Xenopus tropicalis: one gene and its partners. The protein of the gene in region 4 binds, or shares a complex with, the protein of the main gene of each other region. Links are inferred from orthologs where the notes say so. Each region holds a gene or a part of one and is shown on either strand. Other genes may lie near its edges. The genes, in order: fbxo10, fbxo11, ccnf, cul1 and btrc.

The links.
Region 1: cul1 (region 4) and fbxo10 share a complex: the UniProt entries of both Homo sapiens proteins name them as parts of the SCF(FBXO10) complex. The link is inferred for Xenopus tropicalis from reciprocal best matches to the Homo sapiens genes CUL1 and FBXO10.
Region 2: cul1 (region 4) and fbxo11 share a complex: the UniProt entries of both Homo sapiens proteins name them as parts of the SCF(FBXO11) complex. The link is inferred for Xenopus tropicalis from reciprocal best matches to the Homo sapiens genes CUL1 and FBXO11.
Region 3: cul1 (region 4) and ccnf share a complex: the UniProt entries of both Homo sapiens proteins name them as parts of the SCF(CCNF) complex. The link is inferred for Xenopus tropicalis from reciprocal best matches to the Homo sapiens genes CUL1 and CCNF.
Region 5: cul1 (region 4) and btrc share a complex: the UniProt entries of both Homo sapiens proteins name them as parts of the SCF(BTRC) complex. The link is inferred for Xenopus tropicalis from reciprocal best matches to the Homo sapiens genes CUL1 and BTRC.

Annotation. Positions count from the first base shown.
Region 1 is NC_030677.2:109,016,903-109,022,321, reverse strand, and holds the start of fbxo10 (F-box only protein 10), read right to left. Parts: upstream 3,400-5,419; 5' UTR 2,660-3,399; intron 1-2,659. UniProt on the Homo sapiens protein: Substrate-recognition component of the SCF (SKP1-CUL1-F-box protein)-type E3 ubiquitin ligase complex. Mediates the ubiquitination and degradation of BCL2, an antiapoptotic protein, thereby playing a role in apoptosis by controlling the stability of BCL2.
Region 2 is NC_030681.2:21,092,091-21,097,014, reverse strand, and holds part of fbxo11 (F-box only protein 11), read left to right. Parts: intron 1-435; coding exon 436-653; intron 654-865; coding exon 866-951; intron 952-1,038; coding exon 1,039-1,133; intron 1,134-1,315; coding exon 1,316-1,438; intron 1,439-1,572; coding exon 1,573-1,658; intron 1,659-2,251; coding exon 2,252-2,328; intron 2,329-3,213; coding exon 3,214-3,357; intron 3,358-4,201; coding exon 4,202-4,312; intron 4,313-4,924. UniProt on the Homo sapiens protein: Substrate recognition component of a SCF (SKP1-CUL1-F-box protein) E3 ubiquitin-protein ligase complex which mediates the ubiquitination and subsequent proteasomal degradation of target proteins, such as DTL/CDT2, BCL6, SNAI1 and PRDM1/BLIMP1.
Region 3 is NC_030685.2:22,528,097-22,533,737, reverse strand, and holds the start of ccnf (cyclin-F), read right to left. Parts: upstream 3,363-5,641; 5' UTR 3,302-3,362; coding exon 3,289-3,301; intron 1,112-3,288; coding exon 957-1,111; intron 1-956. UniProt on the Homo sapiens protein: Substrate recognition component of a SCF (SKP1-CUL1-F-box protein) E3 ubiquitin-protein ligase complex which mediates the ubiquitination and subsequent proteasomal degradation of target proteins.
Region 4 is NC_030682.2:55,203,070-55,207,121, forward strand, and holds the start of cul1 (cullin-1), read right to left. Parts: upstream 2,801-4,052; 5' UTR 2,635-2,800; coding exon 2,495-2,634; intron 1-2,494. UniProt on the Homo sapiens protein: Core component of multiple cullin-RING-based SCF (SKP1-CUL1-F-box protein) E3 ubiquitin-protein ligase complexes, which mediate the ubiquitination of proteins involved in cell cycle progression, signal transduction and transcription.
Region 5 is NC_030683.2:30,625,553-30,629,777, reverse strand, and holds the end of btrc (F-box/WD repeat-containing protein 1A), read right to left. Parts: intron 3,279-4,225; coding exon 3,117-3,278; 3' UTR 3,085-3,116; intron 1,247-3,084; 3' UTR 1,157-1,246; downstream 1-1,156. UniProt on the Homo sapiens protein: Substrate recognition component of a SCF (SKP1-CUL1-F-box protein) E3 ubiquitin-protein ligase complex which mediates the ubiquitination and subsequent proteasomal degradation of target proteins. Recognizes and binds to phosphorylated target proteins.

The DNA of each region.
Region 1 (5,419 bases), on a different chromosome or scaffold from region 4:
AAGGGAACAAATCTATGTCCCAAAGGCTCTTGCTATCTATTGACAAATTTGTAAACAAGGCTTACTATATTATACTATATTATATTAGCGAACCCCAGACTATTTTTTCATAACTGTCTCACATGTTTCTTGCAGCCTACTTCAGCAAGGTAACCAGTTCAGCTTTAAAGGACAGATCATTGTCATATTGTGCATTTAGCACCACAGACATAAAAATACTATATAACTGCATGCATCTGAATTATCCTTAAACTACAGGTATGGGATCTATTATCCAAAATGCCTGAGACCTGGAGGTTTTCCGGATAAGGGTTCTTTCTGTAATTCGGATCAACAGAAAATAAGTCTACTAAAAATCATTTAACATGAAGTAAACCGAAACAGATCCATGCAGCTTAGTTACCATCAAGTACAAGGTACTGTTTTATTATTACAGGGAAAAAACATTTTTGAATATTAGAATTATTTGCTTAAAATGTACTCTGCGAGAGATGGCCTTTCCATAATTTAGAGCTTTCTGTATAAAGTATCCCATAAATGTATTTGTCAATGTCTTTTTTCTTTACCCCTCTGTTAACTCTCATCTAGCATGTATGATCCTAATCCAGCTAGTCAGTATTTACAAATCAAATAATAGATCTTTTTTTTTTATTCCCTATTCCTACAAGGTCACTACCCTTAAATAAAGCATTTTGTATTAGTGGCAAGAATGCAGAGCTCTGCAGTTGTGTCCACATATACCATCTTATGACCTCTTTTTAGTCACAGGGATCAGCTCCCCAGGCATGCGCACTAGAGACAGATCATTCTAAGACTACAACAGGGGTCGACAATCACAGCAATGTAAGCAGCTTCCTAGTTATGCCAAATAGGAGATTATAAGTCCAGAAAGGAATTTAGTTATGTAAAGCCTAACTTCACCTACAAAAAAGTAAATAAATATGTTGCTCTCCAAAACACAATAATCTAGAATGTAAGAAAAAAATCTTTTAAACTGGGCACACAACAATGATGTGAGGAGGAGGCAGGAGGGAATTGTAGCAATGAGAGATATTATTCAGAAAGTAGTTCCTTGTAAAAATAGTTCAGCTTCCCTTGTCTGCTACAAATGATATTCTTATAGCCTACTCTTCAGAGATTAGGAACTCTGAAAAATAGTTCAGAACTGGTCCAGTATGAACCATTCATATAGGAACTGTAGTATTTTATAATTACTACTATTTTATTTATTATCCAGAATACTGAGACCTTTTTTTCAGGTTTTTCCATAATTTCAAGTCTACTAAAAAATTCAAACATTAAATAAGCCCAACAGGATTGTTATGCCACTAATATAGATTCGTACAGCTTAGTCATCAGCTAGTACAAGCTACATTACAGAGAAAGCATAAACAGAATTAGAATTATTTGCTTAAAATTGATCTTATTGGATATGGCCTTCCTGTAATTTCTTCCTGTAAGTTCATTGATAAGAGATCCCATACATGCACAATAACATGCATCCCAATGGTGTACATGTATAGGACCCATTATCCAGAATGCTCGGGACCAAGGGTATTAAGGATAAGGGGTCTTCCATAATTTGGATCTCCATACCTCTACTAAAAAATCAATTAATTAAGGATTATTTATATCTTAGTTGGAATCAATTACAAGGTACTGTTTTATTTCTACAGAGAAAAAGGAAATCCTTTTTAAAATTCTGAATTATTTGATTAAAATGGAGTCTATGGGAGACAGGCTTTCCGTAATTCGGAGCTTTCTGTATAACGGGTTTCCGGATAAGGGATCTCATACCTATACTAAAATATACAATTCAGACATGAATTCAAAATTTAGGAAGTACAACTGTGCATTTTCTGTTTTACCTATAATTCAGAATACTTACAACCTGGGTTTCTGGATAAGGGATATTTCCATAATATAGAGCACCATTCCTTAAGGCTACAAAGAAAATTTATATTTTAAAATAACCAATAGAAATGGTTTTCCATTAACATGGATTTATGCTAGCATAATTGACATTAAGCACAACATACTGTTGTCTTATTAGAAAGGATAAGCAAATCATTCATAAACAAAAAATAATTTGCTTTTGGTTAAAGTTGGTAACAGTTTTGTTGATACTAGATCAGCTTTGTGGATAACAGATCTCATACCTATGCAATTCCTTGTTTTACCAAAATACACAAATGCCAATTATTTTAGTACTGAGAACAGCAAATCCAGAGAAATGGGTTGTTATGTTTTTTACAAAAATATAATTCTACTCAAATGTGTAGCTCTGGAAATGAGAAATCAAGCAAACAGTGACAGAGATGTTAGATGAGATATACAGATAGAATGTACCTGTACAAACAAACCATTTCTGGCTATACTTCCTAGCGCCACAAAGTCACATACTGAGTGTTAGCTGTGGGTTTAATACCACAAGGTTGGTTGAAAGTCAGGGCAGTAAAGCAATAATGTGGTGTTGTGTATGCCAGGTTCTTGGCATAATAATCTATAATTACAATAATTGAATAAAGTAAGCTTGTAATAGCAAATACACACATATACCTAACACACAAACCTTTATCTATATGTATTATAAATATATGTATATTACAATTATAAATATATGTATAATAGCACTTTAACATCAACATAATGTACATACGTGATTATACCGCACGGTCCCACCACTTTCTTCATTTGCAGCTAGCATAAAAGTCTGACTTGCCAGAAGCACCTCAGTTCTGTATCAGTACATCCCACAACAATCCTGTCGCACAGTCAGAGCGCACAGGGATGCTCCGGCCGGATACCTCAGGGAGCATTACATGTGCAGGTGGGGAGCCAGCAGTCCGTCACTTGTGTGGCATCTGTACGTTCCTGTTTGCAGATCCCATCCCATCCCAATAGCCTACACGTTTGCTACACTGCCCACAGGAGAGGAAATCATTATACTTGCCAATGATAAGAAGAGAGGGGAATCTGTTGTGATGCACTAAGTTCCCCCCTAGCAGCTACAGGACACACACAGCCGGTGTTGGTACTGCAGCCTCACAGTTGCTGCTGCTGCTGCTGCCAATGCAAGTATCCTGTGTGCTCCCGGCTAGTGCATGGGCTGACCATAGAGTACTGGAGAAATAGGAATCGCTGAAGAGGCCCCTCCTGTGGTATCCAAAGAATATAGCAGCTATTCACCAGCCAGACGCCGGGGGAAAGAGAGAATCCTGTAAGGAGGAGTCTCTACATATTAGACAAGCTTGAAGTTGCTAGCGAGGCCCCATGAGGGCCTTTTGTTTGGCAGCCTGCAAGAGACAGCATGGTAAGGGAGATGAGGGAGGGAGGGAGAGCAGGGAGGGGAGGGCTGTGTGAGGGATGAGGGGAAGGGAACAATTGCATCCTGAAGGGGTGGGAAACTGGGAGGAGGAATGAAGGCTTAGCACTGATAAAAAGGGGGAGTGGAGGAGGGTCTGCAGTAGAAGGAGGAAAGCAAGAGAAACCAAGTGTATGTCAGGGACCAAGTAGCAGGAACAACAGAAACATCATCTAGGAAAGGTAAGATAAAAGTGTCCCAATCCCCTTTAGCACAGCCTTGAGTATATCCATAAATATTGTGCGCCGCTCTATTATTTCTCCATGGCCACATTTCAAGCAGCTACAACATGCCTCTCCCTTCGTCCTCCCTGCTTCAGCATCAGTGCATGTTTAGTTGACCATACCGGGGCAGGGCTGCTTTAAGGTACCAATGGGCCCAGGGCAGGAATTAGTGAGTCCGACATCCAAGTAACAGAACTATCATAAAGCAAGAGAATTTAAATGAATATTATAAGATAGGCTATAAAAAATAGTCTGAGAATCAGTCACGCTGGGCTGGAGGAAGCACAATCCTTCCATAGACTGGAGTACTGTTTTTACTTGTAGTAAGCCTATGGAAGGATCACGCTTCCCCCATCCCAGTGTGACTGAAACAACTACAGAAGAGCCTTTATCCTGTAAGTATCGCTAGGATGGGAGCAGCTTTGCTGTACTTTTGGCCAGGGGCAGCAGAAAATGTTTTTGGATGGGGGGCCAGGTGGGAAGGATTTGCGGCCCGAGTAACGCCCTTAAGACTCCACCCACTTTAAAGTGTGTTTTCACCAAATTTGTAGAAAACCAAACATTTGCCTAGTCTGGTAACCCAAGACAAAGCAATTGTAAGATTATAATTGCAGTTAGCCAACAGATGGCTGGTTGCTATGTATGGGTTATATGACCTCAGCAAACCTGGCACCATTTACTACATTTCTGCTTAAAAGTAGAAATTGATGGAACAAGGGAGCTATATACCAGGTAAATAAGTTTTAGTTTATTTACTTTTGATAAAGTTATAGATAAAGTTTTTATTTAAAGAGGGTGAGAATAGGCTAATGTTACACATACCGTGTGGAGCATGTTTTTGGCAAGCCAAAATCCGCTTGACGAGATTACGCTACATAGGATTAAAAATCCTCCTACCTGTGTCTGCACCTGAATGCATTGAATATAATCAGGTGCGGGCACATGTAGCCGATATCTGCCGAAAATGCAAAGTATTCTGGATATAGGCTACATGTACCTGCACCCGAGTGTATTCATTGCTGGTGCAGGCACAAGTAGGAGGATTTTAACCGTATGTGGCGTATTGTCAGCAAGCAGTTTTTGGCTTGTCGAAAATATGCCCATACGCTACATGTGGCATTAGCCTAAGGGTTGCATTTTGGAGTATATGGCAGACAAGTTTTAGCAGCACTCACTGCCATGGAGACATTGCAGTTGTCATCCCCAGAACATTATATCAACACAGAAATGGTTAAAGCAGCATACCAACATATCTAGGTTAGTGCAGTCAGCAGAATCTGGCAGCGTAAGTGTGAGTATTGACACCACAAGTACAATTTATCCTGAGAGTTGGGAAAGCAGGCACTACAAGCACATTACACCATGAGAAGAAATTAATGCTAGCACCCAAAATATATTATATGCAGAGGCTGTGAGATACCCCAAGGACATTATATACAGAGAGAAGCAGTGGGTACTGATCCCCCAAGGACATAATATAGAGAAATTATGGCACCCCAAGCACCATACAAAACATTATATAGTAATAAGCAAAGGGCACTGGCACACCAAGTGCATACACAAGAACCAATGGATAACGGCACCACAAGCAGTAAGAGGCAGCGAAAACTGGCTCACCAAGAACAATATACAATTAAAACAAAGTGGGCATTGGCATCAAAGATATAAGGTACCAGTGGGCCCAGGGCAGGCATTAGTGAGTCCGACATCCAAGTAACAGAACTATCATAAAGCAAGAGAATTTAAATGAATATTATAAGATAGGCTATAAAAAATAGTCTGAGTCTCAGTCACGCTGGGCTGGTGGAAGCACAATCCTTCCATAGACTGG
Region 2 (4,924 bases), on a different chromosome or scaffold from region 4:
AGAATAAGGTGTTCCATAACATACAAAAAGTTAAACTAAAAGATGAACTATGCCTTTGATAATAAAATACAGAATGCATTTTTAACTTCAGTTCACCATAATTTTGATTTCTGTTTCTCTACCTTAGCATAGGTGCAATCTTGGCCATCTTTGCACTAATGCAGCCAACGCTTGGTATTGTGCATGGTGGTGATAGGTTTGGTGTGGCTACTTGCCTATGCAGAATTTTTCAAACTAAAAGTTCTGACATTGGGATTTTTATAAGAAGTGTCTGTATATTTTTGCCCATTTGCTGAGTGCTGGATACTTTTAGATAAGTGATAAATAAAAGTGAAGCATCAAATATGAAAGTAAAATCTGGTTCTGTTGTACACGTACTTGTCTAATTAAACGAATAATTCTTGCTTACACGTTTGCTTGTTAATGGTATTGCAGGGTTATTTTGAAAGCTGCAACATACACAGAAATAGAATAGCAGGTTTCGAGGTGAAAGCCTATGCCAACCCCACAGTGGTGAGGTGTGAAATCCACCACGGCCAGACCGGAGGAATCTACGTCCATGAAAAAGGGAGAGGACAGTTTTTAGAGAACAAAATCTATGCAAACAATTTTGCCGGTGTATGGATTACCTCAAATAGTGACCCAACTATTAGGTAAGCAGGGGTTCCTAAAGGCCAAGTTTGCCCACATATTACAGTAGGGCAAATTTATTGCAGAATTTCATATCTAGTCATGTGATTTTTCTATAATGGTTAAACTCATATTTACTGTCCCCTATAGCCCCCTTATGCTTTAGTTATGAACAGTTGCTTCTCATACAAGTTATGGCTAAAACTGTCTACTAAAATGCTGCCTAATTCTACAGGGGAAATGCAATTTTTAATGGAAACCAAGGGGGAGTGTATATCTTTGGTGATGGAAGAGGCCTTATAGAAGAAAATGACATATATGGTAACTTTTTCCTTTTTAAAGTTCAATTTTTACCTTTTTTTTTTTTTTTTAAGCGTTGTATATTAATCTATTTCTGTGTGTTACCAGGAAATGCATTAGCAGGAATTCAGATTCGTACAAACAGCTGCCCCATTGTCAGACACAATAAAATTCACGATGGACAGCATGGTGGCATCTATGTGGTGAGTGACATTTTCAGTGTAATGACACAGTAATAGAAAAAAACTCAGCCATGGATCCAGCCCCCTTGGGGTGTTCTAGCTGTTGGAGGTAACTACAACTTCCATACCAAAAAAAATGCTTATCCATGAGCTAAACTAAGAACTTGATTTTGACTTTTTCCATTTTACTTTTCAAACCAAAGCATGAAAAGGGACAGGGAGTAATTGAAGAAAATGAAGTATACAGTAACACATTGGCTGGCGTTTGGGTGACAACTGGAAGTACGCCTGTGTTAAGGCGGAACAGAATACACAGCGGAAAGCAGGTAAGGAAAGGGAATTGTTGGGATTGACTGATTTTAGAGCAGTTGATTGAAGAAAAACTGAAAACCTTGAAGTACTGTAGGGGAAACTGTAGGAATCACCGTTTTTAATTAGTGTTTCCATGTTTGCTTTTAAGGTCGGAGTGTACTTTTATGACAATGGCCACGGTGTCCTAGAAGACAACGACATCTATAATCACATGTATTCTGGAGTTCAGATAAGGTAAGGCGTTGCTCTTCAGCTTTACAGTACAGAAGATTGTTTTATGGTAGCAGATAGAGATTAATGTTCATCACAGTTATGCATAACAGCCAGTAGGATCTCTGTTCACCTACTGAAAACAAATTGCTGATTGGTTGCTATGGGTGACCAGATTGGTTTAATATTGAACCTCTGTTTATGAAATAAAACCTAGAATGTTAAAGTACCAAAACCACGAACAAAGTAAATGATTTTTTTTTTTTTTTGATTTGACAGTTATTCCTTTGCTAATTTTGCATTGGTGCATTTTGGTTTCCATAACTGCTCTTTGCGCTGAGGCATCTCAAGGCAGTTAGATGCTATGGGGTATCTGTTCTGTTACCAGCGTGGGGTAGTTTTTGTTGGCCAGGCTACTACCATCTTCCCCTCATTTCCCATGTATCACCCGTGCCTCTTTAAACTTCTCCCATACATTGTACAGAACCAGCCATTCCAGCTGAAATCTATCGCTGACCACTACACTTTATAAAGTCTTAAGCTGCCTTGCAGTGTTATAGTATATAGTTGGAAATGTTGGCTCACAAAGAATACTTCCTTGTTCCATTTGTTTGCAGAACTGGAAGCAACCCTAAAATAAGGCGGAATAAAATCTGGGGAGGACAGAATGGCGGTATACTTGTATATAATTCTGGTAAGTAGCTCTACAGATATATATAATGTATCAAACTCAACAGTAGAAAGCACTCACAGCTACAGCATCAATCAGGTCAGTGATTTATTTCAGCATACCATCTACGCGTTTCGATCACCACAGGATCGTCATCCTGATGACGATCCTGTGGTGATCGAAACGCGTAGATGGTATGCTGAAATAAATCACTGACCTGATTGATGCTGTAGCTGTGAGTGCTTTCTACTGTTGAGTTTGATGTATTATTTTTGTCAGCACCCAGCCTGTGCCCGATACTGGTGAGTGCCGATTCTTTGCAAGACGATATATATAATGTAATATATATATGTGCAGTTTTACTCCATATAGAGAGATCCTTAAAGGAGACATATCCTATAAAAATTAAGAATGTACCAGTGAATTATACTCCTCTTGATATAGAAGGATTGTGCTTTAAAAAGTTGTGTTTATGACACAAAAACACCGCTAGCCTTGCCCACCTGTTCGACTTCCTGCTGGCTGAATTCTCTGGATGAGCGGGGGAGCCAGCGGCCCTCTGTAGGATAGGAACCAATCAGCAGCTAGGCTTACCTGATAGGGAACTGAAGCCTGTCTTTGCTTGTGTGAGTGCAGGGCTGTGATTGGCTCTCCCCCTCCTACTGTGCTTCTGGCAGGGGCCGTTAGGACTCGCCCACCCTTCATTTCACACTGGACAGAGAAGTGATATGATCTATAGGGAGCTCCAATAAAGGGGCCATTTTTACAGAGAGGATTAATTTTTAGCACAAAGTAAAACCAGCACCGTATATTATTCATAAATGCCTACAAAATTAGGGTTTTTCCCATTTATCCAATGTCTCCTTTAAGCAGTAAATAAGTGCTATTTCTTTTCCCTTTCTTGTTCAGGGCTTGGATTTATAGAAGACAATGAAATATTTGATAATGCAATGGCCGGCGTCTGGATCAAAACAGACAGCAACCCAACCTTACGGAGAAATAAAATCCATGATGGAAGAGATGGAGGAATCTGTATATTTAATGGAGGCAGAGGTGATTTGTTTATAGCAACATTTAAAAAGGTTTAGAATTGCTCTGCCCCTTCTGCTTTCTGAGCCCTCTTCATACTGGGCATGCTCACTGCTTCTGCTTCAATTAAAATCAATCATTAGGCTCCTCTTTGAGGTCATCAGAGATGGAGAGAGAAGGGTTTAGAAAGCAAAGGGGGGCAGGGCTTCACACTATACAAGGAACTCTGTAAAAAGCTGCAGTTTAACTGCTTGTAATAGAGAAACAAAATAAATCTGGATGCAGGAAGAAAGGTATGTTATTCTGTGGGTTGTTTGGAATAATTTTAGGGAACTTAAAAATAAAAGGCTTACTTTTTCTTTAATTTGTAGAAGTTTTAAATACATAGTTGGATGTCTTTTGGAAGATTTTGATGTTAGAGAATGACAAATATAAGGATATAATAGCCTGTAATATATACAAAGAATATGTATATGTGGTTTATGCTTTGATATAGTCATAGAACTCCTCTAAAACATTATATATTATAGCAGATATTGTACCCCACTCCAAAGTAAATAGGCCATGGAACTCCAAATATCCTAGGTTTTTTTTTTTTATAAAAAGGTGTGAGTATCTGGAATTCTCTATAGAGAGCAGTCTCTACTGTACACGTTCATTATGAACGAATATAAAGAATATGGAGAAGGCAGACTCCCACACATATACAGTGAAAATGGAAACTCTGCACAATTATCTAAAGTAGAGTATTTATATGGATTAGAGCATTTTACTGAGAGCAACTCGTTTCCCCTAATCTCAGAGCAGCAATGCTGCAGAACAGTCAGGGGTAAGAACTAGAACTTACAGTGATTGTGATTTTCCATAGGACTCCTTGAAGAGAACGACATCTTCCGAAACGCCCAAGCTGGTGTTCTTATCAGCACCAACAGTCACCCAATTTTAAGGAAAAATCGAATATTTGATGGATTTGCAGCAGGTTGGTATATTGTGAAGGGAAATTTATCATAATGGTAACATTTATTGGAGCTTTTTGGCATGCAGAAATTTATTTAAATTACTTCCAGGTTATAAGTAGTGTTAGCTTTCCCTTACTTGTAAATAGTGACTAAGGCCATAGCCTGTGTGCATTGGACATGTGGGTAATGTTTAGCTTGCCCAGATGTTACGGCTTTTGACACCTCTGGATCACATACTGTAGGTGTGGGCAGGTCCTGTTTGGCTGCAACTGGAGACACAGGTTAATGTTTGTTTTGGCAATGTCACTTGTCTGAATGTATATATCTTGTTTATTATAATACTAATACCAGTGGCACTTCTGCACACATTTGCTGTCTTTATAAGGTAATGTATTATTACTGGTACGTACTATAATGGCATACTGAGTTCTGGGCCATTTCCATGTAGACACAGGAATGTTACTTTAGTGTTCCAGCAGGGGGCCTTCCTTATTCAGTAGCAGATGGCTTGAAATGAGTTGTCTTAAAGGATTCTTACTGGACCTACGCACAGATTTTGCCTGTATAATTCAGTCAATTCCCAAACTGAACAATTGCCCAGCAAAACAATTGATGTGGCTGATAATCATGTC
Region 3 (5,641 bases), on a different chromosome or scaffold from region 4:
AACACAAGGAAGAGATTGAGGGAACAATGGAAAGAATGAAGCAGCGTGCATGTTTAAAATAATATTAAAACTATATTTATGGATTTAGTTTTAGTCTCTGCTTTCATGGGTACAGACCCTCAGGGTAAGCAGCGAGCAACCAATTAACACATACTCTGGCGTAAGGCAGCAGGTACACCTAATGCATGTAGCACTTTGTCAATTTTCCAAAGGACAGATTAATAGAGTCACCAAGTTAAGGGTGAAGACACATGGAGCTACTAGTAGCAGCTACTAAAATAGACAATGCTGATCATTTACTGATAATTGTCTACATTTTAGGAGGCAATTCTCAGTATTGTCTATGGCAGGGGATTTTCTGTAGCCATGAAAAAGTAGCTGCTACTAGAAGCTCTGTGTGTCTTCACACTAAAGTGAATCCCCTTCTCTTCATTCCTGGTGAAAGTATTTTTGAAATACATAAGTTGTGCAATTAGATAAGCCCCTTTGACCCTTTCACGCTGCACTGGTTTTTGACAAAAGCCCAAATTGCATTAATCCCCTTGATGCACAAAATCCATTGTTTGGATTCCTTTTTTTTTTTCCGGTGTGCCCGTCAGAAGCAGTTAAAGGCATACAGTTTCACACCCATTGTTAAACGACAGCGTTAAACTAAGTAAGAGTTTCATGCACAATCTCATCGTCCGTAGACTACAATTGAATAGAAAGAGTCTGGGAAATTCAAATTATAATCTTGTCAGGGATAGAAACATGGTTCTGATTTAATCTGATTAGCCTTCAGACAGCCCCCACAATCCAGACTGCTTTGGGCCCCCCTGCTACATTGTAAGAAAGGACACCAGTTATGTACAATTTGGTCAGAAATTTATACTGTAGTTACTGACCATCCAAAAAGGAACACACACATTTTGCACATGAACCAAATGAGGGGCTCATTCCCTCCCCGCAGATCTTACCTCTCGCATGGATAGGATGTCCACAGCAGGCAGGCATTCCAGCACATAGAGAAGAACATCTTCCGGCAGACTGAGCAAGGTCAGCACGCGGGGTCGCCTCTTTACTCGCCGCTTCGGAGGAGCAGCAAAGCATTTGGAGCAGCGGCAGTGCAAGGCTGGAAGGGAAAACAACGGATCAGACTGCAGATCCTGAGGAGCCACCCGTTCTACCAATGCCCTAAAGGTGTGAACTAAGTTTTCAGAAAGAAACACTCAGGGCTGGTTTACACTACATGCCAGCAGCAGCTACCTAAAGAAACCCAGGTCTCATTACTACTCAGGGCAGACAATTGCAGCAGTGGCAGTCTCTTCCATTTGTAGCAACCTTAGACTTTTCCACCATACAATTAAAATGCACCATATACAATTGTCCGATTCTATAAACTCTATATAACACAATGTGCCTGGAGAAAGCTAAATACAGCCTTGCTGCAACCTGGAGGGCCACCAATAGTTCTACATTAATGGTATAGGGCTCAATAAACCCATGGTTTCTGTGTGCTCTTAATGAGAAACAAACAAATGAAACTCACAGCAAACATTGAGGAAAGATACACAGCCTGGCTCCCAGAATAATATTTAGCATTAATATACCATGGGACAAGTCTGATTTGATATAAATTATAAACAGGCACAAAAGAAATGTACAACATGCAGCTCAGTCTGTGAATGCTCTGACAGAAATTTAAATCCCTCACGGATGCATGATGGGAGTTGCTTAAGAATTCTGCTCAGTTGAGCCCCTAGTGGCTGCTGGGCATCATTACAAGCTGATTTATCTCTCCCCTCAAATATAATCTTTCCCTTATCAGCTACTAGATCTCAACCCCAATGTGATCATTACAATTCCAGTACAGAATATAAATGATCTGAAAAGCAAATACACACTTTTATTTTCCATGCTAAGTTGTACTGGCACCAATCTATCACATTTACCAAAAATGCATCTTTTAAATCTCCAAGCATACAAAGCTGCCTTGGTGGGGGCAACTGTAGAATGTGCATAGAACATTAGATATTATAGATATACATAGATTTGAATTAACTTGTAAAAGTAACTAAACAGGACTATCAAATACATCAGTAATTCAACAGGGGAAACTCAATTTTAAACCCCCTGATTAAAATACATGAGACTTAATATCACTTTAAAAAATAGATCTTCATATAAAAGAGATGAAAACTGTGAAAATGACCCTACAATTAGATTGTAAGCTCTACGGGGCAGGGACCTCCTTCCTACTGTGTCTCATACCACATGGCACTTATATATATATTTATTTATTTATTATATCACTCGTCCTCCCTGTGTGTAATTTTGTATTCTGTAAGATTGTACAGCGCTGCGTACCCTTGTGGCGCTTTATAAATAAAGTTATACATACATACAATATTGGCAGCAGCCCCTCTATTGGGAAATAAGCCCCGATGGATCATGAGGAAAGTGTCCCCTCCCACCCACAACCAGTTACTGGCTGGCAAGTTTATTTTCAAACCAAACCCGCCCACCTCTTAACACCCAATAAACACACTAATCAACTAAAATGCCCCCCTGCTCCCACTAAAGTACCCCATGAATGTACATTAGGGAAACCTGGTGAGAGCACAGGCAGCACAGAAATAAAAGCCACAATCCACATGGGGAGCAATACACACACACAGGGACATGGGGGACACTGAGCTGAATAAAACTACAGATCAACCTTAATTATTATCTCAGGTAGTTAATTAGCCATTAAGGGGGATTTAAAGAAAAAGATAACTAGTATTTCATTCATTCTACAGCAGCTACAGTGCCAAGAGATCTGGCTATTATAAATCTATACTTCTAGGAGTATAATATTATATATAAAGCCATACATTCATTATAAACAAGTTACATTTAAAGGTCACAACCCCCCCCCCCCCCCCCCCCCCCCCCCCCCCCGGCCGCCCATCCTCCCACTTTCGGCAGAGTTTGGAGGGAGATTTAAAACTGCTGAGAGCAGGAAGTGACTTCTCAGGGGGGAATGAGATGAACACGCTCCCTGCAGGAATGCACAGCGTTATATATATATATATTCCTATATAACATGAATAGCACAATCACATAAGTGGAACCCCTAGCAGGGAAGGCGATCGGGGGAGCGCTAGGGTTTATAGGGTCTCTACCATACATTATAGGCAGGCAAACCTGTTGCTGAACTACATATCCCATCAATTTGCGCAGCAGGCGCAAACTAGAGGAATGTATGAACTGGTGATCGCAACATAAATATCAGTTATATCAGATCTACGCCTGTCAGACACTTACCTCCTCCCTTCATGCCGAGCAATTAGCTGGTGAGGTAGATGAGCAGTGGGAATCGGTGCTACCGCCTGGCTCAGAGCGCAAATTTCGATTTCATTAGGTGCCCGGCCTGCATATCCCAACTCAGGCCAGGGCTACGCCCACAGAGAGGGCAAACCAATCCGAAGCGAAGAATGAACAATAGCCACGCCCTCAAGCCAATCAAACGCTAGATGCTCTTGCGAAACCAGCCAATGGCATTTGCTAAACGGTTCCCACAGATATTAACACGCCCACATACTGACGTCACTGAGTTCCCGGAAGAACTCGTAGAGGCGCTAATAAAACCGAGATCGAAGTACCTGTTTGTTTAAGTATAAATCTATAATGTTATTAGTTTTTGCAAAGACCCGTTTTTAAGCTGCCCGCATTAATCACGGCTTTCATTGTCCGTGAAAAGAATATACAAAGCCACGCCCCTTTCTCCCAGTGTTCAGCGAGGCAGCGTGTATTTTTTTGAACGGCGCTCATGACGCGGATTGGCTCTGGCGAAGGGGGCGGGGCCATTTAAACCCAGGGCAGTAGTAGGCGGGGTGCAGGGAGGCGGGGTGCAGGTTCATCTGAGGCTTTTGGGGCATGGAAGTTTGCGCTAATGTAAAGCAGATATTGTATAGGCGGGAAGGTGAAACTCAGTGGTAGAGGGTTTGGCCGCAGGTAAGGGCGGCAATACGCGGGAGTAGGGCAATTCCTCAGCAATATGGCTGTGTCCCCTGAATGAACACTGAGGGGCAAAATTAGAAAAATGTGAGTTTATAACTTTAAGGAACCCTGTAATGGGGGACGTGTATTTTTAAACACATCAGTTAATGGAGCTTCTCCGGCAGAATCTGCATTGTAATCTGCTTTTGAAAAACTCAAACAGAATTTTTTTATATTTAATTTTTAAATTTGACATGGGGCTAGCCATATTATTCATTTCCCAGGGTGCCACAGCCATGTGATCTGTGCTCTGATAAACTTCAGTCTCACTTTACTGCTGAGCTGCAAGTTGGAATGATATCCCCCCCCTCCCAGCAGCCGATCAGCAGAACAATGGGAAGGGAGCAAGATAGCAGCTCCCAGAATAGCACTCAATAGTAAGAAATCCAAGTCCAGCTTGGGACTCCTCCAGTTACATGGGAGTAGGAGAAACAATAGGTTAGCTGAAAGCAGTTCTAATGTGTAGCGCTGGCTCCTTCTGAAAGCTCAGACTCAGGCACACTTTACTGGCGGGATGGCAGACGCGGCGGGGCGATTTCAGGAAATCGCTGAAAAAGACTCACGAGTCTTTTTCGGCGATTTGCGCGAAATCGCCCCGCCGCGTCTGCCATCCCGCCGGCGACTTACATGTTCGCCGGTGGGATGGCAGGAGTAGGCAACTCGGGGAGATTAGTCGCCCGTGAACAGGGAGTTTTGCCGCGGGCGACTAATCTCCCCGTGTGCCAGAGCCCTTAGAGTCAGACTGAGCTAGCTTTCTTGCAGCCATGTGAATGAGGGCATCATGGAGCTTACTAACATAGGAGCTAAGTGTCATAGAATCAGCAATTGGCTTTGATCAGATGAGAAATTGCTATGAATAACTGCCCTGGGCGAAAATGTTATATGTGCTAGCGAATGAGCTCCCATAAAGCCCTTATGGAAGTGCTCTGCCCGTAAGCACTAAATTGTAAAAGGCAAAGCTCATAATCTTGTAACATTTACCAGCATACAGTATATTAAGGTTATCCACAACTGAAAAAAGGCATTGAAATGTGTTTGTTTTGCAGGCCAGGGGACACAGGATCCCTTGCACAGGATATTGTGTGACCAGGGTAAAACTGTGTCCCCCATGTTGCACCCATGGAATCTTCTATTTCCCTTAATTCCCAGTCCTTCCTATAGGAAATAAATATTAGGCAGTCCAATGGGCAGCGTTTTGATCTTCTTGTCTAGAGTTCCAAGGTCCTGTACTCCAGACATGCTAGGAGTTGTGGTTCTGTACAGGAGTTGTGGTTCGGCAGCTTATTGGCACGTGTAGGGGCAGGAACGAGGGACATTCCCGACCAATATCTGGCCTGAAATTGGGCAGATATCGATCGGGCAGGTTAAAAGATTTAGTCGGATCAGGGACCGCATCGGCTCGTTGATGTGGTCCCCGAACCGACTGCCCCATTGGATCGAATTGAATTAGCTTACATGTTCCCCGATATCGCCCACCCGTAGGTGGGGATATCGGGTGAAGATCCGCTTGCTTGGTGACTTCGCCAAGCAAGCGGATCTTCACGTGTATGGGCACCTTAAGACTTATACCCCACAGAGAGTTTAGGTAAATTCATCCCCGTGGGGCATCAGCCTAATG
Region 4 (4,052 bases):
ACTATGGCTAAATGGCTGATGTTTACCTCTACTGGTTCCCCCCCTGTTACAAGCTAAGGGGGTGGGGGGCATGTACAAAGGTTTATTATCAGTGCTGGGGCTTGAACCAAAAAAGTCCAGCAAACACCAATATTAAACCATCTTCCCACTGCACGAAGTACTAGTAGGAATACCTACTAGAAATGCTTGGATGCATATGATTTTATATTTTTAACTATATTAAAGATATTGTTAGTACAATTTTGTGAGCAATATTTTATGAACTAAAGTAACTTTTCGACTGTCAGTCCGACCAGCAACATTTTTTTTACTGTTTTGATTTATTCTCTTTGTTAGGAATAAAGAATAAAATTAATTGTTTACTATTCTAAGAATGTTACATTTGTGGAAGAAATTCTCTTTGCAAGCGTGTATATTGAAATTCTTATGTAAACCTTGTTAGAATACTCAAAGGGCTAAGTCAGCCAAAGAATATACATAAACAGAAATACAGGTAAAAAGACTGTTCAAAAAGTTTACGGGAAAAAGATGGGTCGATATGTTTACCCGTGTTCTGTTTCTGTAATTGAGGCTCTGTTTGTCACATAAAGTACAGCAAACCCATTACAAAGAACACTCAATTTTTTCTAAATCAATTCCAACCTTTACAACTCTATTTCCAAAAAGTTGAGACATTGTGTAAAATATTAATAAAACCAAAATGCAATGATCTGTATATAATTTAAACCCTATGCTTAATTGCAAATAGTTTTAACACAATATATCAAATGTTGAAAAACATGCTCCTTTTAACTTTGGTGCCACAACACATTCCTAAAAAGTTGGAACACCCTGTGAACATTTGGGAATCGAAGAGACCAACTGCTGTAGCTTAAACAGTGCTGTTTGGCAGCATATATTGCTCCAAAACCTGTATACATTGCGCAGTTATGGGACTTGTAATCCAGAATGCTTGGGACCTGGGTTTTTCCAGGTCTTTCAGTAACCTGGATTGCCAAGTCTACTAAAATAAAATTCAAAGCCAAAAAAATAAGCCAAATAGGATCATTTTCACTCAAATAAGCATCGATCATATCTTAGTTAGGGTCAAGTACAAGGTACTGTTATATTGTTATAGAGAAAAAGGAAATCTTTTCAAAAATGTTTGTTTGCTTAAAATGGAGTCAGTAGGAGATGGTCTTCCCATAATTCAAAGCTATGACAGATGCCATACCGGTTTATCATTTAACATTACTGGTGCCCTCCCAGAGGTGCAAGCTACGCATGCCATATAGACTAATGCACCCTTATGCCATAATGGATTCTGGCTTTGGAACGGTGTGCTGATAACCAGTTGGATGGTCCTTCCCCTCTTTAGCCCGGAGGATGCGAGGACAGTCCATCTTAAATAAGTTGTATGTATATGTTTCTTTGTGTGGTAGAGTTATAAATTTGTGGGTGACAAACTCTGGTCAGACAACAGTTCCCAAAGTATTCCTAAACCCACGCAGTAATTTCCACTACAGCAACGTGTCTGTTGTTAATGCAGTGCCATATGAAGGGCAGAAGGTCAAAACCATCTAACACTGGCTTTTGGCCTTGTCTCATGTATACAGAGATCTTATGTACTATAGATGATATGATCACCAAATGTTTTGCAGTTTAACGTTAAATTATTTCTATATTTGCCTGTGCAGCAGACCTGGACTGGCAATCTGTGGATTCTGCCAAATTCCCGGGGGGGCTGCTCAAAGATGCCATAGACAATAACTATTTATTGGGCTAGTGGGGGGGGGAGGCTGTTTGCGACTTTGTGTACTTAAAATGCCTATTTAGAATCCCAGTCAAAGCCTGCTCTGCAGTGATTCTCAGAGTGGTGTATACCTCCCCTTTGAGACCCGGCCGCAGAGAGGCTTTTGGTGCCCTGATCCTAAAATTTATGAAAGGTTTTTTTTCTGAAAACAGCATAATTTCTCTTTTTCTACATTTAATATGTCATCTTTGTACTATTTTGCTTATATAGGGTTTAAATGATTTACAGATCTTTCACTTCTGTTTTTATTTTATTTTTAGTGTCCCATGTTTTTTGGAAACAGGGCTGTTTAAAAGCAAGCACATAAAAACACAAAAAACATAACGCACAAAGCCTGTCTACTGATTGTACTATGGATTTTGTTTAGAGTGAACTGCACTCTAAACAAAATCCATAGTACAATCAGTAGACAGGCTTTGAATTCAGATGTTTTCTAAAATGAATAAAAAAATCAACACTCAGCCTTACAAAGTTACACCTAAAATGTTTCCAAACTAAGTAATTAAAAAACATATTTATGTCAATCACCATAAAATAATACAGTTTTAAATAATTAGTCATCAAGATGATGCCAGAAAAAGACAAAAAGATGGCCAAGGCTTTTTATCTGGCGAAAAAATTTACATTGAGCAGTACCTTACCAATCAATTATGCCTTTTGCAGAAGGTAAGACGAAAGTAATGGGAGTTACAATAAGGATACGTATAGAGTTCCATATATCTGGACTTTGCCATGCTCTGTCTTGTATAAACTTGTTGGATCCCGGCCCGCAGGTCATCCCATATTTGGTCCAAGCCAATCTGTTTCAGTCCATGTGGATTCTGACTTCTGTTTGAAGACATTTTTGTCCTCTCTTTATGGATTTCCCCCCAATAAAATGTCTTTCAGTGCCACAACTTCCTTTAATGACTTACTTAAACCTCCATAAGATGATAAAATGCTGGAGCATTCCAAATCGCTTGTGAATTGATCCTGTTGGGTGATGTAGATCCTATCAGTTAAAATGCCTAAAAGTGAAAATATAACTATGCATTAAAAGTGTTGTACATATAATTATAACATGTTAATAAAGGAACATTTAAATGTGTATTTATCATTATCCTTAGTAGTGAAGTGCTTCATTCTTCCCCTTTATTCTTCAGACTTGGTTTATATCACTACCCTTTCTTGTTTTTGGATAGACACCTTCTTCCCTGTAGTGCATGCCCAGTATGCAAAGGACAAGACTTGTGCATTCCTTGTAGATTTTCCCCACAATGATATTGTGTGTGTAACACGGTACGCCTGCACGTGATCAATTTAAAATTATGCCAGTCCAAGAAGAATCATAGGGGCCCATTTATCAAAGTACGATTGCTTCCGAATACAAAAATAAAGTTTTCGTACTGTGCATATTTTTGCGACTTTTTCGCACTTTGCGACAAAAAGCGTGACAATTTGTGCGACAAAATCGTATTTGTCGCGCAGAGTATGAAAGTTGCCTTGAGAGGAAACATCGGGCGGCTTCAGCAAATCACGGCGCCGCGTATGCCATCCCACCAGCAATTTATATTCTAGCCGGTGGGATGGCATTGCAGGGAGATTAGTCGTCCGCGACAACAAAGATTTGTTGTGCAGCGACTAATCTCCCCGTGTATCACTGCCCTTAAATGGCTGCAACCATGGCTACACAGCATATTTGAATTTCTAAACTATAGTAGTGTTTCATCAGTTGTACCAGTGCAGGGCAACAGTGCAATTACTGTTATACAGGTTCATATTTTGGTATTATTGTTTTTTTAAACTTAAGTTTAAAAGAAAAGAAATTAAGAGCTCAGCATACATACTGAATGACATGGATCAGGTAACTTCACCCAAAGCTTTATCAACTACAAGGGAAAACTGGCCAACTGCTGATCAGATTCACCATGTATATGGGATAATCAAACTAAAAAAATCCATATACCACACACACAACCTTAACTGATGCAGTTGAATCAGTATAATTGGTTCCTCCATAAATAGTTTGGGATCTGGAACAGTTAGGAACATTACAAAGGACTGAGGCCATTCACTGAGGAAATGAGATAATGTGATTACTTCCTACGGAGGATTATGCTACATAAAACTATAAGGGAAAGAACATAGCAGTTAATACAAGAAAAGGTGTCTCTTTTGACATGACGGTTGAAGTCACAATGGGTAATATGAACCAATGACCTAATAATACTTAAATGTATTATTCACTTTGTTAACAACAGTCTCTTCTCTCTCACTTTGA
Region 5 (4,225 bases), on a different chromosome or scaffold from region 4:
CCCCCACAAGTTTGGCTTTAAGTAAAGGACAGAAAACGAGTGCTTTTTTTTTTCTTCTTCTAAAGGACAAAAAGATACTTTCCTGTTGCGTTACGTTAAGTGTTTGTACCTCAGTTTTCAGATCATGCAGAATATTTAATAGTGGTTCACATGCAAGAAGAGATGAGTTTAAATACGTATTTACGAAGAGCGCTATGGCAAATAGGGCTGCCCGCGAAGATCAGAAGCATGAGTTAGTAGTCGTGTGCAGAAAATATACATGGTGTTTTGTGACGGTCAGTACAAGCGCGGTGACGGAAATAACCACCAAGAAAGACGAACGTACTGCTGTGCCAAGCCAAGGGAAGAGGGAGAAAGAAGAGGAGAACCCTCACTAGAAAAATAAGAGGAGACACTTAAATGGAGACACATACCAAGAGGGAAAGTGAGTTTTGCGCTATCCTTACCCTTGTGCCATGTGATAAGAACATCTCTAATCAGTTTATTTTTTTTCTAAGCTTTTAATGGCCCATAAAGAACTATACAGATAACTACAACACTTGATTTGGTACTATATGCAAAAAAAAAAAAAAAAGGAAAAAAAAGAAAAACTGGATATACACGCAAACACTGAAGAATGAAAAAATTAATGGAAAAAAAAAATAATAAATAAAAAATAACCTTTCATGCTTACTATGATAAAAACATACATTTTTATATCACTTGGGGGGGTCTTAGTCATCATCTTAAAAGAAAGTAACCCATTTCCCGCTTTTCACTTCACAAGTACTTGCAAAACGTTCAGCAGATCTCCGAATGGAACCACACCTTAAAGCAGCGTGAGCGTGGGACAAAAATGAAAATTGTTCTTTTGCTGACAGCGAAGCAACAGGAATCCTGGCAAGACATTTAAATAGATTTCAAAGATCTGTGACTGCTACAGTCTCTCAGGTTTCATCTCTAAATTGCAAGTTTTGAGTAATGAGCCGCCGCCACTGGAGTGTGCAACCCACCGCCACGCAATAAGTTGCAGACTCCGGTGACAATGACGGAGATACAAGAATTCTTCTCATGGCAGCAATCATGCAGTCCACTGTGCAGATTGGCCCGGGCTGCTTCCAGCTGCCTGACAGCAATATTCCAGGATGAGTCAGGATAATGGGTCTCTCTCTCTATATTTTTTTTTTTTCAGCAAATACTGGTCAAGTAGAATGTTTATTTCCCGGCGTTCACAGGTGGTTTAGTTACCATACTTCTCAAGCAAGTCCTGTAAGGGAGTAAACGAGAGGCAAGATTAAAGGTTCATCTATGTTTTTTTTTTACAAAGAAAGGACACAAAAAGCTACAACCAGTGTCAGATAAATAGAATGATATACTCCACTTCTTGCTTTTACATCCCAAGGGACCACGAGCCACATCTCAGCCCTACTTTGGAATGTCCATGTGTACATACCATAAGGGAGCCGGTCAGGCTGACACTTAAGAAGCATCTGATGTGCGCTGAACTCAAATGCCTGCAGCTGAATCCTAAATGTACTCTCAAATCCTCTCTATTGTGTTCAACCAACCTGACATCAGTCTCTCCTGACAGTGCATTTTTCCTTGATGTCAAGGCGAACAGAAGAAAGGCAATGTAAAAAGCAGAAGGTATCAGATGTGCACAGTGTGCACGAGATGCCTAGGGTAACATCCATCTGATGGCATGTGTAGGAGGAGATCACTTGCCAGCAGATATCTGGTAGCCTCCTGCTGATATCTGATGGGGTTTAAAATGCGTCAGATCCAAGGACACAGCAGAAATTTTGCACGTGTGAAAGCATTTACAGTGCTATTCCATTTCTTTCTTATCCTCTTTGCTGTATGGCTGTGGTCCTGTTCTGTAACTAAGTTTACAAGGTGGAAGTGGTGACTGTGAGGAGGAAAGGCAGGCCGCAATACAGATATCCATAATACTTTTCGTGCATCTCACTGCCCTTCAGCTGAGTTTTTAAGGAAAAATGACAGCTCCAGAAACCAACCCTTCCTCTCCATTCTGCTGTATGGTGTCTGCACTCAGAGGCACAGCGTGGGCCTGGGTGCAGACACACAGAGTGGATTTTGGAGTAAATATTCATTCTCACGTGTTTTGGAGCAGAAAATGCTCCCCATGTGTGGGTGCAGACACAGAGTTGGACTGGCCCACTAGGATACCAGGAAAACTCCTGGTGGGCCCAGGTGTCAGTGGGCCCTCCTGCTCCTGACCATTTGGCCTGTTTCATGCTTATTACCCATTTCTGAATGGAAAAAAGAGGAGAAATACATGCTAGCATGTAAATAAAAGAGACTTGGAGAATAAAGTGGTTTTAGTGAGGAAAGGAGGAAAATTAGTTTGGAGAGTGGGCCCATGGTCTAAAGTTTTTTGGTGGGCCCCTGGGGTCCCAGTCCGACACTGCAGACACACCATAAAGCAAATCGGATTGGAGAGACTCTAGGCATGTGCTTATATAGAGGCCAGAAAAAAAACCCCACCCCCGTGTGGCAGTAGCCTTACGGGTATATTTATCATGCGGTGTAAAAAGTTAAGTCAAGCATTACCGATGATGTTGCCCAGAGCAACTAATCAGCAATTAGATTTCAACAGTTAGAAAACAAAAGCAAAGCATCTGATTGGCAGCTATGAGCAACATCACTGGTAATGTTTCACTCCACTTTTTACAAAGCATGATAAATATACCCCTCAATGTAAATGTGGTCCTGGGGGAATGGGAATGTAATCAGTACAACAGTAGTGATAATATCCTGGCATGCACATATCATCAAGAGGGATCTGGGCACCAGAGCAGATGGAACCCAGTGGATTACTGCCAAGACAATCAGAGGAGAATCCCTTAAGCACTGGGATACTGTGAGTAATGACACAGTAGACTTGCACATTAATACAAGCTAAAACAAAAACTGGCCTTTAGGAAACACAAGTTAAAGAAAGTATTAGCTAATAATGGCCGACTGTGATCTAAAAACTCATAATCCCACACAAGATTTACTATTTTCCCATATTTTTTGCCTGCAAATGTAAAATGTGTCAGTGACAAATGACTGGTGTACTTAGCACTTCCTCCTACCCACCTGTGCAACTCTGAGGTACTACGTAGTGTCATTTATCTGGAGATGTACGTGTATGTTCTAGAAGGGGAACGCGTTGACTCTGCATGTGCAGCTGGGTCGTTGAGAAAATCCCAGATGAGGATAGTGTCGTCGTGAGAGCTGCTTACTATCTGGAACTCATCAAACTGCAGGCGGAAAACTCTGCCCGAATGCTCCTGGTAAACAAAGCAAAGATAATAGGGATAAACAGATATTACACAAGTTTATGCAAAGACATGTAACACATATACAGCGTTCTGCCTTCACCACACTGCTACTATTACCAGAAGAGGTGCTTTATCCAATTAAAAGGAGCAAATATATATATGGGATTTTTTTTATATTTTTTATATATATCTATATATATCTATATATATCTATATCTATATCTATCTATACCTATCTATATCTATATATTTTATACACACACACACAGAAGGTTGGCATTCATGTGTACATGATCAAAGTAAAGCATAAATAATGGAGGAATCTGCACTACTCAGGTCTTATGTCCAATATCAAAAAGATTTATTGAAGGGAGACTGACGTTTCAACCCACCTAGGGTATTTCTCGAAACATATATATACACACACCCTAAACAAAATGAAGCCATTATTTTTTTTAAATGTCACCTTGAATGAAGCACAATTGAAAAAGGACATGCTGTGAGGGGGAAATAATCTGGCAAAGTCCACACTGCCTGAGAAAGCCATTGTGTGTTTATGGAGCTGCTTTACAGACTGCAAAGTCGAAGACAACTCGCCTGCAGTGAGGAGCCACGATCTGTGAACCTTCTCCAACTGCTTACAAATTGAATGTTAGCTGTAGGAGGGTTTTTCTCATTTCTGGGAAAAAGCCAGAGTTAATTTGGAATGGCCATAATGGCAACAGTGTGGTGGGCTTTAATATTATTGCCTATGGGTCAAAGACATACAGACACCACTGCATTTGTGCATGTGGCTTTATTTCATTCAACATTATTAGAAAAGTTATAACATATGCCTATCAAGAGATATAAAATGAATGAAACAGAAGATATGAATTCAATAAAACTATAATAAAATTTTAAGCTATGAAACGGCTTTTACTGTGCAGATACCCAAAGCCTGAGTGTTACTAATT